Linked DNA regions of Caenorhabditis elegans. The protein of the gene in region 4 interacts with the protein of the main gene of each other region in a pairwise test. Each region holds a gene or a part of one and is shown on either strand. Other genes may lie near its edges.

Region 1 (5,576 bases), on a different chromosome or scaffold from region 4:
TGCTGAGCTCCTCGAGTTGAACGGCGTATTGAATCAACTTTTGTCGCAGATTTCGGAGTTTTTGCGGCAGGCGTCTTTTTGGCAGCAGCTGGAGCTTTTTTCTGCAAAAAATATTGAATTTAAAACTGGTTTTATCGATTTTTAAACTAACCACCACTGCAGGACTTGAAATCGATCCATCCTCAACGCTTAAAAACTCTACAAGCCTGTCGGCAAGTACTGTCTGCACCCCGGAAGTGTCGAGTCCGCGGTCTTGTAGTTCCTGAAAAGATAATTATATTAATGAAGAAATTTTATATTGAAATATTCCTCCTACCTTTACAAGTCGATTTTTAGGCAGCAACGGAACGGTGGCCTTGTTGAGCGTTCCACTGGCACCACTGCGACGAGAGGCGCGCATGCCTGGAATTTGAGAAAATTAAATAATTTTATATGCTACGAAAAATGCGGCATATTAAGCGAATAACTAATTCACACCAACGAGAAAAATAATCGATACTTTCACGCGCGAAAGCAACTGGGAAATCTCGACCCATCGGACAATAAAATGAGATTTCCGCGAATTTTATCGATTTTTCAACGAAATTTCAACGCAAAATCATATTTCCCATGTAACAGGAAATTATTTTCACATTTTTCTCGCAAAAAAATGATGAAAAACGGCTGAAAACGCGAAATTTCTTTGTGAAATTGAATCACGCGAAAAATGACGCTTTGCGCGAAACTTGTAACCGTTGCTGACGCGTTTCTCGTGCGCTTGGCGTGTTTTTCGTGCATTTGAATTTTTTTGGCGGGAAATGGGGAAAAACTCACGGCGGAATCGATTTTGTGTTCCATTTGAGCAGCATTTTTGCTCTAAATTTATATTTTTTGAGTTGAATTCTGTGATTTTAATATTCAGTACTGCACCAGAGTTCACAAACCGGAGGAAATTAAATTTATTCAACGAAGAACTGACGCAATTTGCACCTAATGAACGTTTATTTAACCGATGAAAACATTTAATATTGTCTATAAATGGAGAAAAACACCGAATAAACCAATTATTCACAAGGTTGAAATACAATAGATAGAAATAATGGATATAAGAACAACTGATTAGGCCTTTAGATCTTGTTGAAGGCAACAATATCGACGGATTGGACGTGATCCTCGAAGTCTCCGGTGATCTTCTCGATGAGATCATCGACCGAAACCTTGAGATCCTCGATGACGGTGATGATCTGGAGTTTCTTGATTCCGTATCCGATTGGGATCAGCTTGGCACCTCCCCAGACAAGTCCGTCCATCTCGATGGATCTGACGAGCTTCTCCATCTCTCCGAGATCAGTCTCGTCATCCCATGGCTTTACGTCAAGGATGACCGAGGACTTGGCGATTGGGCCGGCCTTTGTGGCCTTCTTTGCGGCGTAGGCAGCAAGGCGCTCTTCAACGACCTTCTTCTTCTCCTCGTCCTCTTCCTCGTCTTCGGATCCGAAAAGATCGAAGTCGTCGTCTCCGGCAGCTTCCTCTTTAGCAGCGGCTGGTGCGGCAGCTGGAGCAGCGACGGAGCTGGTCTGAAAACAAAAAATTAGTATTAGAAAATGGAAAATATAAAATTAAGGCTTTTGGACCTCGGAAACTATAACTTCGCAACTTTTTCAACGATTATTTTTTCATAACAATAACATACAACAAATAAATTAACAGAAGACGAGCAGATCTTTCAGGTGAGCACCAGTGGAAGATTATTGGCGACAATCTCCTCAGCAATCCGATTTCTTAGCTCTTCATGGATTCTGGAGCACATTTCACGTCCCATCGGAAGCTCGAGGCCGTGCCATATAATTCTGTAGATCCTATTTGGGAGTGGCGGATCTGGGCAGATGGATCGAAGATATTCAATCTCAGAAATCGCAGCTAAACAATTTCCAGCGATCGATTTTACGAGCTCCACGGCGAGCTTCTCTCCTTCGCTCTCACCGATTTTGAACAAAATCGACAGATCCTGGGCGTAGAAGGGCCTATAGTAGTTGAACTTGAACTTTCCACTCCTCGGAGGCTCAGCCAATTGAAAATCGCGCAGAGACTTCTGCTGATTATCACACTTTTTGAAGGAAAATGTCAATCCTTCACGATTATTGAACCCTTTTTTAGTCTCTTTATAACCGGAAGATCTATAAGATGCGAATCTATCAGTATCGAACCTCTCCAGACTGTCGAGAATGAAGCCATTCTCGGCGCCCAGATAGATTGCCTGCCAGGAATCTTTTTTGTGACTTGGGAGCTCGTTCATCCACGGATCAGAGACCTTCTCGAGCCCAGACTGTCCAATGGCAAGACTGAGAAGAAATACTGCTTGGCTATCCATAATACTTCTGAGGGAAGCAAAAATTCCGGAGAGCAAAATTTTACTCTTTCTCAGATTGGTTTTACCGCCAGGGTGTGGAAAATTCATGATAACCGTGTTAAAGATGTTGCTCCAGCGAACCGGCAGATCTGTCGCGTCAACTCCAAAACATAGGATCACATTGCTCAAAGCGTCTAGAGCGTTTAACGTGTCATGAGCGTTGTATTTTTTCAAAAACTGTTCTTTCGAATCAAAAACAGTTGCAAAGTATACAGTTTCCGGATCTGACGACGCAATGGCAAGGGAAAACGAGAGATTTCCGTCGCCAAGAATCAAAACGTGACGACGATGATTTACCTGTCCTTGGCGAAGAGTCGAGAGTTGAAGTTGAAGCTCAGCGACAAGACTGGCCAAGTCGTCGACCTTCTTGGCAAGAGCAGAGTGCTCTTCGCGAAGCTTGGAGACGTCCTCTCCTCCTGAAACAGAAATGCGTTAAATTAGCTTTCAGAAAATGCCAAATTTACCTTCTTTGTTCAAAGCCTTATCAGCGGCATGCTTGGCATTGTGGATAGCTCCCTTGAGCTCGCTCTTTCCTCCCTTGCATCCTAAAAGACTTGAATATTAAACATTTTATATAAAAAATAATAATAAATACCGTGGTCACCACCAGAAGAAGTTCCTGGCTTAACGTCGGAGAAGACACGCTTCCCTCCATAGAACAATTGTTCTCCAAGAGCAGCATCCAAATGATGAGCGTTGAAGTGCTTGACCTCAGAGAGAAGACCCTCGACAGACATTGTTTTACCTGAAAATTGAATAATAAACTATGCTGGCACATTAAATAAAGTTATAAATAAATTTTCCGAGCGTCAAAACAAATAAAAAACCGAACAACAGCGCTAGAAATACTAGAAAACTGCAAAAATTACCCAAAATTTCTTCACATGCAACACGGCGCGGCGAGACCCATGCGCTGTGAATCTCCATGCGCCTTTAAAGTTTAATGGAGGGAAGTTCAAAATTTGAAGCGAAATCTATTTTTATCGTGATTTAAATCATGATTTAATGATTTTCCATGGTTTCTCAGCTTCTAAATGCAATTTCTGAACGAAAAACAACAAATTTACTTGGAAAAAATAAAATAAAGTTAAAAATACAGAGAAAACCCGTTTAAAAACGCGAAAAATTAAAATATTTTAAAATTTCATTCGGAATCCGAGTCAATTTCACTGGCACGCTGATCCATAATAATATCTCCATCAATACTTCGACTTTTGACGAGTCCAACAGTGAATGCATTCAAACATTCATTTTTCACCATTGCCGAATGAATTACTCGAAGGCAATTCTCACTTTCTGCACGGAGTTCCGGGAATTTTTTGAGAAGAAGCACGCATTTGTTCGTCTGAAAATTGAGATTTTTTGTTTTTTTTTGAGAAAAAAATTGCAGTGGAGGTAACACGTTTTCAGGATCTGGAAAATTTTTTCGATTTTTTCGGGCAAAAATAAAATTTTTTGGGTTTTTTTTAGCCAAAAATGGATTTTTTTTTGATAAAAAACTGTTTTTTTCGGACAAAATTGGATTTTTTTTGGACAAAAATAATTTTTTCTTGGTTTTTTTAAAAGTTTTTTTGAGCATAATTGCAAAATGGTTTTTTTGTGGGGGTTTTGTGGCTAAAAATGGGTTTTTTGGCCAAAATTGGATTTTTTTCTTGGATTTCTGGTTTTTTTTAATCAAAAAATGATTTTTTTTTTGGATTTGTTTTGGGCAAAAAAAGATTATTTCTTCCTTTTTCTAAAGGTTTTTTTTCTAGTTTTTTGGTCAAAAATTGATTTTTAAGGATTTTTTGGTTTTTTTTTTTTTTAATTTGGATTTTTATTGTATTTCTGGTTTTTTAAACCAAAAATTAATTTTTTTTTGGATTTGGTTTGGGAAAAATTAATTTTTTTGGGTAAAAAGGGATATTTTTGGTTTTTTTTAGGTTTTTTGGGTAAAAAATGAATTTTTATGGTTATTTTTTGCAAAAATTGTTTTTCGGTCCAAAATGGTTTTTTTTTCCGGTCTGTTCTGGTTCAAAATTAATTTTTTTTCTTGGTTTTTGGACAAAAACTCACTTCTCGTATTTTACAAAAAAAAATTTTTAAAGCAAAATGTGGTTTTTAATGGGTTTCATATTCTGAAAAGTTCATTTTAAAAAAATCGAAATTCGAATTTTTTTTTGTTTTTGAAGATTTTTTTCTACAAATTTCAATTTTTGTTATTTTTCGCCATCACAAATTAAAAAAAAAAGAATTTTTATTTCAATTTCGGACCAAAAAAAAATCAAATTTCTCTTTAAAAAATCCAAAAATTAAGAAGCCTGTTTTTTTGTTTTTTGCCCCGAAACACTGAAAAAAAAAATCCATTTTCCTCTGAAAATCCAAATCCTGAGAACGTGGAATTTTCCATCGCAAAAAAAAGAACCTTTGCAAAAGTTCCAATACTCTGCAAGACACGATTTCCCTGTTGAACAGCCGATAAAATCTTCTCAACTCTTCTACAAATCGTATCGAAATTGGTTCCCTTCGTAATATTATCCATTAAAAATATGAATGAGCTCTTTTTAGAAACAGTAATCAGAAATTGTTTTCCCTCTTTAATAGCCGACGTCAAAACCGCCGTAGTTCGGATTTTATTGATTCTAAGGAGAAGGCAAAGGATCAGAAAGCATGATGAAGCAGTTTCCCAGGATTCCAGAGTATCCTCGATGTCGACACCTCCATTCTTGGCAGCACTGGCCGACATATCATACTTTAAGCATCGAGAATTCAAATTTCCGAATAAAGTTTTAAAAATGACACCAAAAGTCGTTTTACTAATACAATAAAATGTCGCTTTTCGATCTTCTTTTTCCAATAAATCATCATCAGATTGTTGTGAGAATACGCAGGATTTCCGTTTATCATCCTCTGGAACCAGCTGAACTACTTTATTTGTCAGAATCCATTGAATCGCCAAAAGTTGATCTTTTTCCTTTCGAAGACGAATATAATGGTGAAGAATGTCACGAACTGCACATGTGTAGCGAGTTCCTTTGCTCCAGAGCTCGTCTACTTTGCTCCAATCTTTTTTGAGATAGGCGAGCGCGTATTTTGCTGAAATTTGAATTTTTTTCGTTTTTTTTTAGAAGAAAATTTTAGAAGAAAACAAAGTGTGGAAAAAAGTAAATTTTTGAAATTTTTCCTGAAAAAATCGATTTTTTTTTGT
Region 2 (6,774 bases), on a different chromosome or scaffold from region 4:
CAGCCGAGAGCTTCAGGACACTTTTAACGAGGGGCTGTTCTGTACGCGAACAATAACGTGACTTGTGAAAACGGGCGGTTGAGTGAGAATTTTGGAAGAAGAGGGGAGAAAATAAAAATAAAAAAGTTTTGAAAGGTGGAGAGTTCCAAATCACTTATGTATTCTAACCTAAAAATGAATATCATGAAAAATTCCAAATTTATAGAAGAGAGAGTTTTCTAGAAATTTGTATTCCTTTGTGAGGGAAAACATAGAGTAGCGGAATAGAAAAGTAGAGAAATCGGTTTTTGAAAAATTGGTTTCATGAATATTTTTTTCTGGTTTCGTAGTCTAAAATTTATGAAAGAACAACGATTAGTCTTTTAGGTCTCGACACGATTGATATAATTTTTAATATAGTTTAATCTTCAAAAAGAATAGTCCAGAATATGGAGGGATCTCATTTTCCGAGTTTCAAAAATATGTGTAAGCAAACTAAAGGCTTTTGCTCTCACAATGTGGAACTTGATACGCTTTTCGTATTTTTGGCTATAAAAACTTTCAAAAAAAATCAATTTTATTATTTCTAAAAGAATGATTCACATTTTTTCACTCTGTTTGGAAATCTGCCAGGTTTGTTTTTAAGTGATGCTATTGGTTCACAAACCACAGTGGCCGCCTAGTTATTTCAGCTTTTTTTGAAAAAAAAAATCAACTAAAATGAGAAGAGAGAATGTACACATTCAATTTTAGGTGTAACTTACATCATGAAGCCTAAAAAAGCATGCAGTCTTTGCAGTTCGAAAAGCTTTTCGATTCGGTCTTCCAGATTCTTCACAAATCAAAGATTCCATTTCTGCACGAATTGCTGATCCCAAATCAATCATATTTGTTGCTTGCATTGAAAAATATTTTTCATAAAGTGCCATTGCATCTCCAAGTGCTTCAGAATCTTCCATTAAATCCAAATTTGCCTCAAAACTATCACATCCTAATAGAAATTGAATAGTATCATGATCTTCTTTCTCTTTTATAAATTCCAAAAATGATAGAAGCAATGGTTGAACTTTCAGAATATCTGCCAGACTACAACCATCAGAAAGTACTTCCAACTCGTGTTTCTTATAATAAACACTATTCTGAAATTCATCAAAATATCGATATTCGAATAGAGATTTCACAAAATCCTGAGCTTCATCAAAACAAGACTTTTGTAGTGGAGACGCAGATAATTTGTCTGAAAATAAAGAAAGTTTATCTTCAATAAAATTGTTGCATAATCTGTTTTTTAAAGTTTCCAAAATTGATAAAGATTCAGAAGTGCTAGAGAAAAATAACCCCCTTTATTCCACTTTATTTTTAATTTTTAAATTTTGTGAATGGCCTACCATCTACAATTTGTTTTATTTTCCGTGGCAAGGCTAGTGAACTTGTTGAACCGTCATCAATATATTTGTCATAAATACTTTTGGCATCTCGAAGGGATACTGTAAAGTTGAAAAGTCATCATTTTTTCAGGTCATTGCTTAAAAATTGGGGGCACAAGTGGATCGTACCAATCAAATTGACATTTTTTAGATATGAAAATATATTAAAATCCAACTCACACTCTTGTGCAGCCTGAATTTGTTCTGAAAAACTTGATTTGAATCCTTCAACGTGCATCCAAAATTTGATTAAATTGAGTTTATCAGTTGAGTCAAGGTATTGGATAAAATATGACAAAGCTGACGAATCTATGAGAAGTCGATCCAGGGAAAATGCCAATTGAGGCTTTTGCTTCACTATTATTCCCTCGTGATCTGACCCGGAACCTGGAAAATTTTCAATAAAATTTATAAGAATTATAGACCATGTGAAATCTGGGTTCTATAATGTGAACATAAAATATGTTTTTTCATCAAAAAATTTGCCAATTTTCTCTGACTCTGGGCCACGCCTCTTTTGTGGGCGGGGGTACGACGCGAGACTCTTGATCAATTTCGCCCTGTTATAAATGTTTTCCTACTTATCAACTAGTATTGGGTTACTTCATATTTTTTCGAGTTTTTCAGAATTTTTAAAATGTGTTCTCAGAAGTTACAATCAACTCACCGATATCCGCTGATTGTTGAGCAACTGTTAATGAATTTCTCTGTGCTGGAATACAAATATGATCATTTACAAGTGAATCTCTATGAGCATTCCCATTTTGATAAGCTCCGTCAGATGACGTGGCAGTATGACCTAAATTTTTTCAATTAGATTATCGATTCCTTACGTGGTTTTCTTAGAAACTTGCCATTTTGTTCTTTGTCTTTTTTGCGGCGAAGTCGCCCGAGAAAACTGCTCATTTTTCAATATTTTATGACATTTTCTGAGTAAAATTTAGAAAATCGAGCTTTATGAAATAAATAGAAGGGATTTATTTTTGTCCACAAGAGGGTTATCAACTTCTGCGCACCCCCTGTCTGCACGTCTCCGTCTCTTTTCTCTAAAGCACACGACAAACGCGTCAACGACCACTCGAAGAAACGAGGCAAGAAAATATATGTCAGCTGCGACCTTTTTTTAGCGTTTAAGAAATATTTTCTTCAATATTCTGAGAGAAATTCAAACTTCCGCCATTTTACTACAATAGTAATTGGTTTTTTTAAATTCCAGTCGAGACGCAAGTTCCCAGAGTTGATTGTGTTCCTTTACATTCTAGCGTTTTTCACGTTTGAAGTTTTCAAACTATAGCAAGTATAAATGCTTGTGTGTCAGATTTTTTTGTAAAATATTATTGAATTTTTAAAATTTTACGAGCTAATTAGTTTTTTAGATTTTAAAAACCCTGTTTTTTAAAAAAACACATCTTAAATCCAGTTCTTTCCATAAAATAGCAATATTCCAGGCGAGACCAAGGTCAAAATGTTAAGTATGTTCCTTCAAAGCAACCGTAGTTATCATTCAAATTTTTTTTCGAATTTTTTCGGCTCTAATACTTTATTCCCATTTGTTTTTTCTTTTTAAGTGGGGTTTTTTGCAGAAAATGGAAACAGAAACCGCCACAACTCCAACAGGAAATACGGAACCCACCGCTGCAGCTTCCGCCGAACCACCAAAGTCAGATAAGGTGACCGTAAGGCTGAGGAATATCGCAGATGCGCCAGTTCTTAAAAATAAGAAAATGGTGGTGAATCCAACGGACACTGTTGCTTCCTTCATCTTGGTAAGAATTGAAATTCTTAAAAAATGTGAAAATAATATTATTTTCTTCCAGAAATTGCGAAAACTGCTGAATATTCAAGCCAACAACTCACTCTTCTTGTACATTGATAACACATTTGCCCCATCTCCTGACACCACGTTTGAGGTTAGTTTTAATTTGAAAAACTCGATATAATTTTATAAAAATCAAATTTTCAGACGCTATCCCGATGTTATTCTGTGAAAATCACCGATAAGGAGATTCTGGAGCTTCAGTACAGCATTACACCGGCCTACGGATGAAAAACATGCGAAGCGGGATTTTTTAAATGTATTATATGTACTTGATGTCACAATAAATTCACTTATACCACAATTTCATTTTTACTTTTCAAAAAAATATAATATGTTTTTTCAAGTCTTTATCTACTTGCTATCTCCACTTCTCAAAGAAAGTAACAGGAAATAAATTTTAAAATATTTCAGATCTCTAGATAAAAGATAATGAGCAAGGTAAGTCTTAGAACTTTTTTAAACTGAAAAATTGAATCTCAAATTTAAGAAAATCGATCACGATGAGGATGATCGAGATTCGTCGGAATACGAGGAAATGGATGATGATGGGGAAGAAGCTGAGATTGATATGGAGCAACACGAGATGATTTATGAAAAGGATATTGAGCCGGTCGAGCAGTTTCAGCAGGAATATATTAGTGATCAGGAGCCAACTTCGAGCAATCATGAAGAAATTCCTGTTAGCATGAAAATTGACTACGAAGGTTCATTATTTATAGAACTACTGGAAAAATTGAAAAAAATCAAGTTTTGAAGTTTCCAAACATTTTTTTGGGAAATTGAAAATTTGATCTTCCAGGTCCAATTTATCTTTTGAAAAACTTTTAAAATTTGAGAAAAATCAAATTAAACATTAATTTTTACAGAAGTCTATCCACACAACGCCGTTCAAGTAGACAATGCTCACGAAATGGTTGAAGCTGAAAAAGTTTATTACGAGAATGAAATGGAAGATCTCGTTTATCATGAGATTTACAGAATTGAAGGCAATCAGAAACAGGAAAATTATAAGAGTATGTGCATTTAAAACTGGAATTTTGATTATTTAAAAAATCCGGTTAAAATTGCTAAAAAACGAAACAAAATTCAAATCTTTGCGAAAGGAAATCCAGAAAAAAAAATAACATGACCTTGAAATTTTCAGGAATCCGAAATATAGTTGGATCAAGCGCCTCCTGTCTCGTCTGCCAACGTTCCGAATCCGAAAAAATCCGTCTTTTCAAGTGGCCAAAATCAGAAGAACTCAAAGAGCAATGGTTACATTTCTTTCGGCTTCCAGCTACAGTACTTCAGAGTGCAACACAAGAACCATATATCTGTTGTTATCACTTCTCAGCCGACACTTTTGTCATGGTTAGTTGGAATTCTACGAATTTCATGAAAAAAATTATCTCAAAGCACGGAATTAAAAAAAAGAAAGTTTCTCCAAAAAAAAACATCAAAAGACCCATTTTCGCCAAAAACACAAAAAAAAACCAAAAAAGGCAAGTCCAACGATATTGGGAAAATTTGAATTTGTGAAAAAGTTTGAATATTACAAAAAAAGTTTATAGCAGGAAATTTTTTATTTTTCAAGCGAGTTTTTTGAATTTTGAATTTTTCTTTAGAATTAATATTTCTTTTCAGATCGATGATCGAATCTTCTGGAAAATGACCGCACTTCCAAAATATCGACAACGTCGTCCGGGGCTCGCCGAGCCATTTCCATGGGAGCCCGCTGTAAAGCATAAAATGGAAATGATGCAATCAACCGATACAACCAACAATTCTTCAGTCGTCGAGTACAAAATTCGCTATCGAATGCCTTTTAATAAGCATAAAACACGAAATGTTCATCAAGTTGCAGTAATGACTCCAGTTGCTCAACCACATTTATATTATGAATTTCATTTTAATCGATATGGTTTGAATAATACGAAATTCTACGCGTGTTTGAGTTGTCGAAAAGCAAAAACTGAAAGTGGAATTCGTGACGTCATTCGGACAATTCATCTCGATGGATATAAATTTTTGAGCAATGGAGATCCATTTAATGGACATCATTTTGCATGTAGACCTCATAATGTCTACGATTACAAGTATGTTTTTTCTTTTAAAAATATGAATTCACAGGATAAAATTCGATCAATGGGTCTTGGCAAAACATTTTTCAGCTACCGTACCCATGACAACGGTAGATTTGCAATACTTTTTCTTAAAACGTTTTTCAGTGATAATGTTGGAGAAAATTATTTTATTCATTTTTTCTATGTAATACAGGGAAACACTTCCACAATTTTAATTTTTATTTTTTAAACCTCCGATTGTCAAGAGAAAAGAAAATCTACCGTAACCGGAGGGTACGGTTGCCATAAAGTTTCAGTCGGGGCAAGACCTGAATTCAGATTTGAGTACAAAAATCGTGGCGAGACACGCCGAGGAAACATGTTTGCGTTTTTAAAATAGGCTTTCAAATCGTTTCAAAAATGACAATATACTTTAAGCATTTGATTTTTTTCTGATTTCCTAATCACTTCTTTTCAGATCATCTTGGCGTCCAGTTCCCGGTCAAAATGGAGAAGCCAATTTTCTCGATGAGGTTGTCTACGTTGATGAGGGTGGAAATTCCCTGGAATGGCATGCCGTGACCCGTCCCGGAGACAATCGAGAAGTTGAAGCGGTGCATGAGAAAGAGGATCCGCCGATTATGATGTATGATGGTAATTTCGAAGATCCCATCACCGAGGAAGTGATCGAAACGAATTATGTCTTGGATGAACCACCTGTACTATATTCCCAAGATCCGGATCGCAAGCCTAAGCCATCGAAAAAGTCCAGAATAAAGTGCCATCTATGCTTGAAGACCAGCTTTTCGTCAACACAAAGTCTGGTTGATCATCTTCAAAAGCACATTCTCGATGAGAAAGAATGCAAGCGTTGCCAGAAGCGGATCTCGTGTGATTCAAGAGCAATATGCATTCGGAGAGGTGTTTGCGGGAGTTGTTTTGTTGTTTAGATTTTCCTTGTTTGCATTTTTTCAAATCAATAAATTGTTGTTCGTTCGAAAAATATATTATAGGATTGAGAGAGATAGAGGAGGTCTTGCTGTGACAGCGTGAGAGATCTAGAAAAGAAATGAGCTGGGCCCATACAATAGAAAGCTTGTGTAAGAGAAGAAATTGGATTAGAAAATGAAACAATGATTTGGAAAGTTCATCTAATCACTGTCATCATCTTCATCGTCGCCTGCAGCGGCCGCGTGAGCTCGATTGACTCTCTTGGATGGTCCCTGGGCGCTCAATGTCTGCAGAAGGCTTGTTTGACGACCATCACAGGCGACCACTTTCAGTCTGAAATATTAATAATTATAGATCATCGAGAAACAAAAATTTTTATAGAAAATTAATAAACAATTGCTTTTTTCTAGATTTTTTATTTTTAATACAAATAAAAGAAACACTCACTTATCAATAGGCTCATCAAACGATCGCTGGGGATCTTTCAACGTGACATTATTGAGAATAAACGTCCAAACGTTATCACAATATCGATAAGTGAGCAGTTGTGTCG
Region 3 (4,756 bases), on a different chromosome or scaffold from region 4:
GTCTTAAGATCTAGAGTACAGTGCAATCGTTATCACTGTTCTTTTTTCCGGCGGACGGGAACAAGCCGCCGCCACTATGCTCATAGAATGACGAGAGAGGAGTAAGAGCGGAAGAAGGAGCATCCCCTCCGAATGCCGTTTAGACTTTTCCACTCCTTACTCCGATCATCGTCAAAAAGAAGATCAATCACTGGTTTTCGGCCGCGGGGCGCGAAGCCTCCCCCTTCCCGATCAGAGTCTCGTCAACTTCAATAGTCTCTCGATGACAATACAAACTGCGCATGCTAGACTTCAATTCTATCTCAATTTCTCTCTTCTCTACAGTTTTTCTCGCCTTCGACCACTGTACTGTATCTTCTGAATCAAAGAGTAAAAAACCAACGAGTGTGACTGATTGACGCCGTCACCACTAAAAATGCCAAATTGCAGGATGGCATCTATTTCAAATTAAACTTATACATAGCTTATGCTTAACTTAACTTAACTTATTAAACTTATATTAAATAGTGGAAATTCTTGTCAAGTTTTGCTTTAACAAAACTTTGATTCAACCAAGGCCAATCTTTGAACAAAACTTATCTTGTGTCGCTTTTGGAAAGACATGGGGAAATGTTGGATTGAACTCGGTCGGAACTTCGGCGCGGCCTAAACAAATTCAACTTTTGCCAAAGTTACCCAACTTCCGAAGAAAGTTATATTTATGGGCAAAAGAAATTGTCGCCGAATGCCGAGCAAACATATTTCAAACTGACAACTTTAGATTCTGACCTTTTTTCTATACTTTATCCTGGAATTAGATCTTAGTTAACTTCAGTTGTGCAAGTTGAATTTAGAAACAACAATCGTAATTTTCAAATTTTGATTGTATCAATTAATTGGGTAGGTTCAACTTTGAAAACCTTAGACTTTCAAACTTGCACTAAGTCTCTGTTCTGTTGCTTTCCGGTTGGAGCTCAATATGTGTGCAAACAATGACCACAGTATTGGTCAGTCTCGATGCTCTTCCACTTCAACTATTTTTTGCCGATTCTCTTTCTTTGAAAAAACAAACATTCGATACTCTGAATTCTAAAACTCCGATTGAAATGATTGTGTGACACGAAAATCAAATGGAACTGATCAGGCGGCTTCTGTGACTCATGTTTTTCGCAAACTCGCAAGTGGTTAAACAATTTGTGTGGAACACATTTCATAAGTTAGTTTTATACAGAATTATAAAGAAAACAAGAAGATCGGTAGTTAAAGAGATGATTTTTTTAGATTGCAAAATCGAGCATTAGCTGAGCGATGACTCGTTTCAAGTGTTCTTTTGTGACGTGGCGGCTTCCAGTGTTGGCAGCGGACTGTGCGGCTCGAGCTACCGACTCCTGAAATTTTAAGTTATTTTAAAAAATTGTAAAATAAATTTTTTTAAATAAGAGTAAAAATTCAAAAAATCATATTAATCACCTGTGCAAGCAAATTGATAAGAGCTGTGAGAACAGCTAGTGCATCCGGATCCAAGTTCAACCGTTTCTTGCCTCGCCGAGCCACAATCAACATCGATCTTACTGTAGACTGTTTGATGTGCATTACCATGATTGAAATTCTGAAATCTTACTAATTACACAGATATACGCGAGAAGTCTGAAATTTCAGGAAGTAGATAATAACGAGAATTTATAACTGGATTACTGTATTCAAATAAAAATCTTCTATCCCGTTATTTGAAACAAACAAGTTATTTATTTAAAGAAATCGTAGGGAAATGTGGATGAGACCTGGGAAAAATAGGAAAAAAAAACAAATTGAACAAATTCAAATATTATTCCATTCGAAACGGGAAGTCTGAAGGAAGTGTGAATCTGAATGGTTCCACATATGGCATATCCATCGTGGCAAGAAGCATTGTCAAGTCGGTTTTCAGTTTATTGGTTGACTTTTGCAGTTTTTCCATCATATTTTTTAAGCTGTCCATCTTCCGATCACATGTTTTGATAGCGTCTTGAAGCTTCATCTCCACATAAACATCGTCACACAGCTTAACAACCACATGCTTCGTGTCTCTCCTTAAATTCAAAAATAAAAGTAGTAGTTATAATAAGTATCTTACACTTCAATATTCATAAAAACTCTCTGTCCCAGTTCGGTCTTTCCTTCTGTTGTTTTTGGAGCCTCATTCTAGAAAAAAAGATGATTTAGGTCTAACTTTGAACTCTTTACCAGAAGCCGTTGACATGTGAACTTGAGTTTTGCATACTCCTCGCACTGTTTTTGCAACTTTTTGAATTCCTTCTCCTCAGTTGCAATTTTAGGATGAATAACATTTCTGTAAATAATTGTCAATTATTTATTCCGATTCGATTGATGTACTCACTCTGACAAATCTTCCAAATACTTCATGTATCTTTCCTGTGCAGAGACATAGTTTTCCATTTGAGCTGAATACATTTTTTGGAGAAGGTATTCAAAAATTTATAAAAATAGTAGGTTTTATGCAATAACCTCTTTCAGAAAAAAAAACAAATTTAATATAGGGGGTAAAATCATGCTTCATTTTTTGTACATAAATGAGAAAAATATAAAAACCGGAATAAAAGATCCTTGGCTACTCGGCAACAAAATCAGGACGGCGGAATGTAGCAATTACAAGCTTGAAAGACACGAAAACTCCCTCGATTTCTGTACGATCCTGGAAAATACTTAATCAGTATTAGCAGAATTTACCCTATTCAATTTCTTACCAAATTATTTTTGTATTTGATTTCTTCCAAATGATGATTTCCATCCATCATCGGAGCAACTTTTACGAAAAGGCTCAACGTTCGTTTGACACTGGCATAAGATGTAGTTTCGAGCATTTCAGCACAAATATCCGCTACAACTCCCTTCACGTCATTTGGTAATGTGCTTTCCTCGATGATTTTCGTAAACTCAGCGGGACATGGCTCTTTTGGTTCTGGTAGGATCGCGATCGAGTACGGTTTCAGAATATAGTAAAATTGATGCAACTGCATGAGCATTTGATGACGAAGCAAAGCAACGACAAGCTTCGCACGAACTCCCTGTTCGTGTAGAGGAAGGTTTTTTCGGATAAACGTATCCAGTGTTTTTGGGGGATTGAAATGAGCCAGCCCGGCAGCCAAGTGAATGGTATTGCCGAATTGAGCTGTGAACTTCTCTGCCATTCTGTAACTTGTTGAATTTCAATGTAACAATAAAATCCTTGACTAATCAAAATGTTCTATGAAAATAGTGATTTTGTTTTGAATTTATAAAATATAGTTTAAAAAACAAAAAAATTGCTCACTTATCAAGAGGTTGTGGACTTGTTGCAGATGTATAGATGTTTGTATTACATAAAGGATAAATGAGAATAGCACGTGTCCATTGCAGTAAGTGTCGAATGATCATGAAAACTTCAAAAATCGGGATTCCAGACGCCGTTGACATATCCAAAATTGAACGATCCGGACTACAATGACTGAGAAGTTTAGCAACAATCGGATTTGCATCTGGAGTTGGCCACACATCTTCGAGAAGCAAAATTCCGTGATAAGGTCTGAAAAATAGTTTTTGTAGTTCCAAAAAATGGGTTATTATAGGAAAAACTCACTTCATTTTTCTGACGATTTCATCGATTTCCTGCCTTCCTTTCGGCACTACATTTAACTTCGTCAAGGCATGTGCTTCATCACAAAATCCAAGTTCCACAAAATTTATGAGATATTTCTGGAAATGTTTTTTTAAGTCTAGATTGAATTTTATCATCCATTCGCGTAAAGTGATACTACTAGGTGCTTAAATGGTACATGATAAATTCTGTTTTTCTGAACAGGTTAGAATTTAAAATTTCAAAAGTTTTTTTTCTACATCAAATGAACAAATCTGTAAAGTCTGGCACCCTGATATCGTGACAAGACCACCATGGGAAAAATGCGTGTTCCTTTGAAATGACATGTCAAAAATATCGCGAAATTACAATAAATATTGTAATCAAAATCTGATAGAACCTTTAGTGGAAACAAATCTGAATTTAAAAGAATTTGAATCTTACATGAATATTTCCTCGATTTCGCACTTCTTCAAACATTTCAGCCAATGGTTGAACTATGAAACTAGTCTTTGCGAACTCTTCCAGAGGATGATCTTTATTAGGTTCTTCAGCATTATCTGCCCACTTGTCCTCTCGTTCCAGAAATCCAAAATAGTTTTGGAGCATGACCAAACTGACTGCAATCTTATTCGAAAGTGTTTGATATGCGGACGCTGTGTGCTGTTCACATCCGTTTTTAAGTGCAAAAACAATCGAAATCTGATAGTTGGTGGATTCACCACGTGCTTTCCATGTCTTCGGATATGCAACGAATCTTTGATTATTGATCTTCATATCGAACCCATCGTTACACGCAATTTCTTGAGTTTTGAACACATAAGCAAGCATTCCGAGAGACATGTCGAATTCTGTATCCACACGTCCGAAACCATAACTTGGACTGAAATTTTGAACGTTTGAATATTTAAATTTAAATATTCGGATTTAAACGAACTCTTTGACACTTGTAAGAACTGGCTTCACACATTGTCCTGGATTAGAGCTGGAAGGTTGTGGATCTTTCGATGGAGCTGAAAATGTTTTTTTTTTTGAGATTTTATATTGTTCAGATTACCTTTGGTAGCTGGTTTTCGATGTGGATAAATAGATACAATCTTTTCGCCGCTTTGTCCAGTGAGAAAACACATCACAGCACTGAAAATTCAAAATTATTTTTATGAT
Region 4 (4,571 bases):
CATCCAACAGTCTTGTATCATGAAGATACTGTACATCAGAATCAACGACTGGATTCGGGAGCTGAAATTATATTATGTAAACTGCAGGAGGTTGTGGCTTATATGTTCTGGGAAATTTTGATAAGCAAAAACCAAAATGTGAACAATTCAAAATGAACCAGGACACTTTTGCCACATACTGATTGATATCCATTTCGGCTTACAGCATCACAGGTGTGTAGCTTTTGTGGATCTTCATGCACACTCAATGCGACCCAACCTGCCAGAGATGCTTGAGCCTGCAATATTTTTATTTTAATAGTTTTTTTTAAAATCGATAACTTACTTCAACAATAAAACTGCGTCCATCATAGTGTTGACATGATGATTTGATCAGACTAAAGTCGTCAATAATATGATCATAGGAAATATCGTAACTGGTGAAATCATACAAATTATTTTTCCGATCTACTATTACATCAAATCGAGCTGTTATCTGAAAAATTATAAAAATCCGTACTCTTTATTTATTAAAACTTTTTCCATTTGAGATTACCAAAATTTCTCCTTCATCGTTAGCCTCATACTTCGGAAAGAATCTCGCCGATGAATTTCTGTGATTCGGCAAAACGTCCCAGTTTTCATATCCACAACTATTTGAGGAATCCAATACGTATTGTCCCACGAAGTTCTGACAAACAGTTAATCTAAAATTGCTAGTTAATAAAATCAGATAAAATAATGTCTAACTTTAGCCAGCGTCCTATCTGCAGGCTCTGAATATTTCCACTGATTTCGACAAATCCATCGATATTTTTGGTATAGAAAAGATAATTTCTGTTTCCATATTTATTGTAACCAACTACCAATCCATATATTTGGGTTTGCGGTTGTTGAATTTGTGGTTGGGGATTATACGACGATGATGGCTGACTTTGAGCATAATAGTGATTTGGAGGAAAATAAGAATGGTACCCATTATGCATCTGAATAGCAAGAAAATGAATATAGTTATAAATCAGAACTGATGTAATTAGCAATGACTTTTAACATAGACGTGAGCACAAATGGTATAAAACAGTTTGAAAGCATTTATTGTAAATGGTTCCCCGAAACAAGAAACTTATTTTTTTCATAGAAAAATTAATGTGATCTTCTCGTTTCGGAGAAACACCAGAGATGAAGAATAGGCAAAAAATAACAAATTAAGAGCAAAAAATATGAGATTCATAGAACAAACTGGATTATTTCTTCTGTGCTTGGGCTGCTGCTTGAGCCATCATCTGGAAGCTTTTTTGCATATTCATCACCTTGTCTCGCTGTTCCGTACACTTCTTCGAAATGTCTGAGATGCTGGCTTCCACTCGTTTGCTGAAAATTGTAATTAAAGTTTTGTTGCATTTTAAAACGTTTAAAGGTAAAATTTATTTGTTATTTTTATTTGTTTCGTGTAAATCAATAGCGTGCAAGAAGTAATACTAAAGAAACATGATAAACGTTACAACTCACGTCTCAGAGTCGATAAACTCAAGCCGTTTCTCCACAGTCGATCGAGCCTCCTCCAAATCTTGACGAACAAGAACCGCTCCGATGAGTTTGTAGACTTTCGAGTCGGATTCCATCAGATCAAGCTCCTGAATGAAGATAACATGAAAACTGAATCTCAAACTTTTTCTTACCGCTTTCACATTTTTACTCTCAGTTAATCTCATTTCCATCTCTTGGCGACTCGTGAAGTACTTTTCGCGGTCTATAATTAAACGATTGAAAAGATTGTTTAAATTAACAGTTACTAACCTTTTTCAAGAGTTCTGAGCTTGTTAACTTCTTCTTCGAATTTAGCCATATCAGCCATTTTGATCGTTTTTAGTGGGAAAAGAAGTGAAAGAAAACAAAATTGTGTTTAAAAATCTAGAAGAAAAACGGGTTCTGCGCCATCCTTCAAAGCGCCAGCAAGCTTTCTTGACGCATTTTCCGTTTTTGGCGGAAGTTCAAAACTGGATTGTATATGTTAACTTCAATTTTGTTATGCTTTTGCTAAAATTTCATTCAATAGTGACAATACGAAATATTTTCAATATAGATATTTCCAGAATCGTGAAAACCAACTTTGCATGGAATCTTGATAATATTCTTCGCGTATCTGAAAGTTTTAGCTTAATTATATACAATAATTAAATAAGTTTCTTGTAAGTTCAGGGTATTTCCCTAGGTTCTATAAACATAAAAATATATTCTTACCTGTTTTGTCTTTTTCAATTCTGACTCTAGTTTTGATAATTGAATTTCAGAAGAACGAAGTCGGTCTCCAGCAGCGTTGAAATGCTGGAAAAAAAATCAATTTTGTTTTAGCCTTGATCCACTTTTTTGAAAGTCTAAAAAAAATTGAATAAAATATTTAATATACACTGTATCCAAATATACTAATAAATCATAAAACAAATCGTAAAACAGAAACCATAAACTCACCGATTTTTCAATTTGTTGTGTTTGAATAAAATCATTTGAATCGGTATATAACTGCACTTTGATTGCATTTCTTGACTCCCGATAATCACTCATCACATTCTCAACTGCTTTTTGTCCAGATTCAGCGTCTTGAAATACTTTCTCGAATATTTCTTGGCGTTTACGAAATTCTTTCTTCTGATTTTCCGTTTTTCTGAAATTGTTTGAAAATTCAACAAATCAGAATGTTCACTTTATTTTATAACAAAACGAAATTTGAAATTGCAACTTTTCTAATCTTTACAATCACTCTAAAGTGAAAACTACAAGACCAATAAGGGATTCGCTCCGCCTACGTTCAGACCAATCAGTGACGCTACTCCGCCTTCATCCGTTGATTGTTTCAGTAGTAGGCGGAGATAGTCGCCGATTGGTTCTTATTAGGAAAGTCGCGTTTCACGTGGTGTCAGGCTGTCTCATTGCGGTTTGATCTACGAAAAATGCGGGAATAGTGTTCCAGAAAATTGTGACGTCCGCACGCTCTTCACCGTGCGAAATCAGATGAGATGTCTGCGTCTCAATTCCCGCATTTCATGTAGATCAAACCGAAATGAGACGTTCTGGCTCCACGTGGCGTTTACGTTAGGTTTTTATCGCTGCTCTTTGTTGATACTACAGAAATTGAAAATTTTCGAGTACTTCAAGACAAACCCCAATTCAATCAAAACGTTGCCAACTATTTTATAGGGATCTTAAATAGTTCCAGATTAGTATTAATTCATGCTACCCAAACTTTAAGTTACGGAAAAAAAAAAGTTTTGAAACTTAGTGATGTAATGCCAAATATCAAAGTTTACCTCACTTTAATACGAATATACCTATTTGATTATGTTTCTGAGAAACATTTCAATTTAATAGCTAAAAACCAACATTCCACCTACATCGATTATCATATCAAATTGCTTTTTTCCACCTGTTTTATGAAAATCGGTAAAAATGGTTGAAGAAATTGACCAACAAACATGACTTTTTGCAATTAAATATTTTTTTATGAATAACAAAGCAAAAGAAATAAGTTCCTTATAATTAAAAAAGGAAATTACTCCTACCTTTTTGCAAGCTCCGCCTCTTCTCTAATACGATGCTGCTCCAATTGTTCAGCTACCTTCTTGAGCTCAATTTCCCTTCGCTTTTTTCTCCATTTTGTACGTTCCCGTTCTCCACGTTCACTTTTTGTCGGTGACGACGATGGCGATGACTTTTTTGTTCTGAAACGATAATTGGATGGTCCCCCGTCCTAAAAATGGACATCTGCCGTTGATCGACAATTAGTTTGGCGCCGAATGGGTGCCGACCTCCTCTGAAGAACTCACCTAGCGAGCTCTTCTTTCTTTTTTCTTTTTTCGATACCGCCCGTTTTTTTGGCCATTTTGCATTAATTTTCGGAAATGATTCAAAGTTTGCAAATTTCTTAACTAGATATTCAAAATTTTGATTCACGTGTACTCCAATGAATTGCAAAATTGAAAAGTGACACCTCAACTTTTATGAAAAGTTAGGAATAATTTGTTACTTCCAACTGTGTTGGTCTACAAAGCATTCTATATATAATACATTATATTTAAACCAGCCGTGGACCGCACCTACGGCGCGGCCCCCGACTTTTTGAGAAAACACATTAGATATACGGTGTCTATCGCGGACCTCGATCGATGTCTGCTGCGCATTTAGCATAAGGTTTCCCAAAATTTCGTTGCTCTGATCAAAGATCAAACTACATAGGGACAGAAGGACACGCGCTTTATATATAGTAAATGATGATATAATGAGCCAACACAAAATATGTATCATTAAATCATTATATCATTAATGATATTTATCATTCGAATATTAAAACCAAATATATTTTATTAACTAGTTGATACCACAAAACTCTGCAAGTTAATTTGATGGCTTTGAAGATTTGAATATCATTTTTAAATATCCAATTCATGATAATAAGTTATTTCATATTTATATAAGGAATGAAACAGTTTTATATTTGTTCAGCTCTCTGGATAGTTTTGAAACTCTTGCTAAACATTTCAAAAAACATTTAATACATTACCACTTCTAAAATGTCTCATCCATTCTATTTTCTGTTT

What was found.
Region 1: the proteins of pfd-6 (region 4) and eef-1B.2 interact in a two-hybrid assay, tested with the Caenorhabditis elegans proteins (one large-scale study listed by BioGRID).
Region 2: the proteins of pfd-6 (region 4) and B0336.7 interact in a two-hybrid assay, tested with the Caenorhabditis elegans proteins (one large-scale study listed by BioGRID).
Region 3: the proteins of pfd-6 (region 4) and F35H10.6 interact in a two-hybrid assay, tested with the Caenorhabditis elegans proteins (one large-scale study listed by BioGRID).

Annotation. Positions count from the first base shown.
Region 1 is NC_003282.8:15,034,899-15,040,474, reverse strand, and holds eef-1B.2 (putative elongation factor 1-beta/1-delta 2), read right to left. Parts: upstream 3,145-5,576; 5' UTR 3,127-3,144; coding exon 2,985-3,126; intron 2,935-2,984; coding exon 2,854-2,934; intron 2,806-2,853; coding exon 1,706-2,805; 3' UTR 1,637-1,705; downstream 1-1,636. Other genes in the region: hrpu-1 (B30.2/SPRY domain-containing protein), read right to left, coding at 1-101, 152-262, 317-400; fcd-2 (FANCD2), read right to left, coding at 3,534-3,734, 4,794-5,464. UniProt on the Caenorhabditis elegans protein: EF-1-beta and EF-1-delta stimulate the exchange of GDP bound to EF-1-alpha to GTP.
Region 2 is NC_003281.10:5,694,229-5,701,002, reverse strand, and holds B0336.7 (THAP-type domain-containing protein), read left to right. Parts: upstream 1-3,636; 5' UTR 3,637-3,654; coding exon 3,655-3,663; intron 3,664-3,709; exon of another isoform or gene 3,710-3,712; coding exon 3,713-3,929; intron 3,930-4,091; coding exon 4,092-4,238; intron 4,239-4,369; coding exon 4,370-4,578; intron 4,579-4,851; coding exon 4,852-5,303; intron 5,304-5,748; coding exon 5,749-6,220; 3' UTR 6,221-6,274; downstream 6,275-6,774. Other genes in the region: Regulator of G-protein signaling rgs-5, read right to left, coding at 744-1,216, 1,368-1,466, 1,587-1,793, 2,074-2,205, 2,261-2,312; lgg-3 (Ubiquitin-like protein atg-12), read left to right, coding at 2,993-3,172, 3,224-3,316, 3,370-3,453; B0336.13 (Transcription initiation factor IIA small chain homolog), read right to left, coding at 6,422-6,554, 6,669-6,774.
Region 3 is NC_003282.8:8,297,600-8,302,355, reverse strand, and holds F35H10.6 (Spindle and kinetochore-associated protein 2), read right to left. Parts: upstream 2,421-4,756; 5' UTR 2,416-2,420; coding exon 2,357-2,415; intron 2,309-2,356; coding exon 2,203-2,308; intron 2,161-2,202; coding exon 2,093-2,160; intron 2,049-2,092; coding exon 1,805-2,048; 3' UTR 1,709-1,804; downstream 1-1,708. Other genes in the region: F35H10.5 (Centromere protein X), read right to left, coding at 1,257-1,367, 1,450-1,578; nprl-3 (GATOR complex protein NPRL3), read right to left, coding at 2,588-2,671, 2,724-3,168, 3,290-3,541, 3,596-3,711, 4,037-4,475, 4,530-4,605, 4,650-4,729.
Region 4 is NC_003279.8:7,281,907-7,286,477, forward strand, and holds pfd-6 (putative prefoldin subunit 6), read right to left. Parts: upstream 1,857-4,571; 5' UTR 1,835-1,856; coding exon 1,777-1,834; intron 1,730-1,776; coding exon 1,659-1,729; intron 1,614-1,658; coding exon 1,489-1,613; intron 1,351-1,488; coding exon 1,224-1,350; 3' UTR 1,058-1,223; downstream 1-1,057. Other genes in the region: rde-2 (SH2 domain-containing protein), read right to left, coding at 2-61, 180-278, 326-475, 536-686, 730-965; F21C3.6 (DUF4200 domain-containing protein), read right to left, coding at 2,054-2,122, 2,221-2,304, 2,449-2,641, 3,537-3,695, 3,801-3,856. UniProt on the Caenorhabditis elegans protein: Binds specifically to cytosolic chaperonin (c-CPN) and transfers target proteins to it. Binds to nascent polypeptide chain and promotes folding in an environment in which there are many competing pathways for nonnative proteins.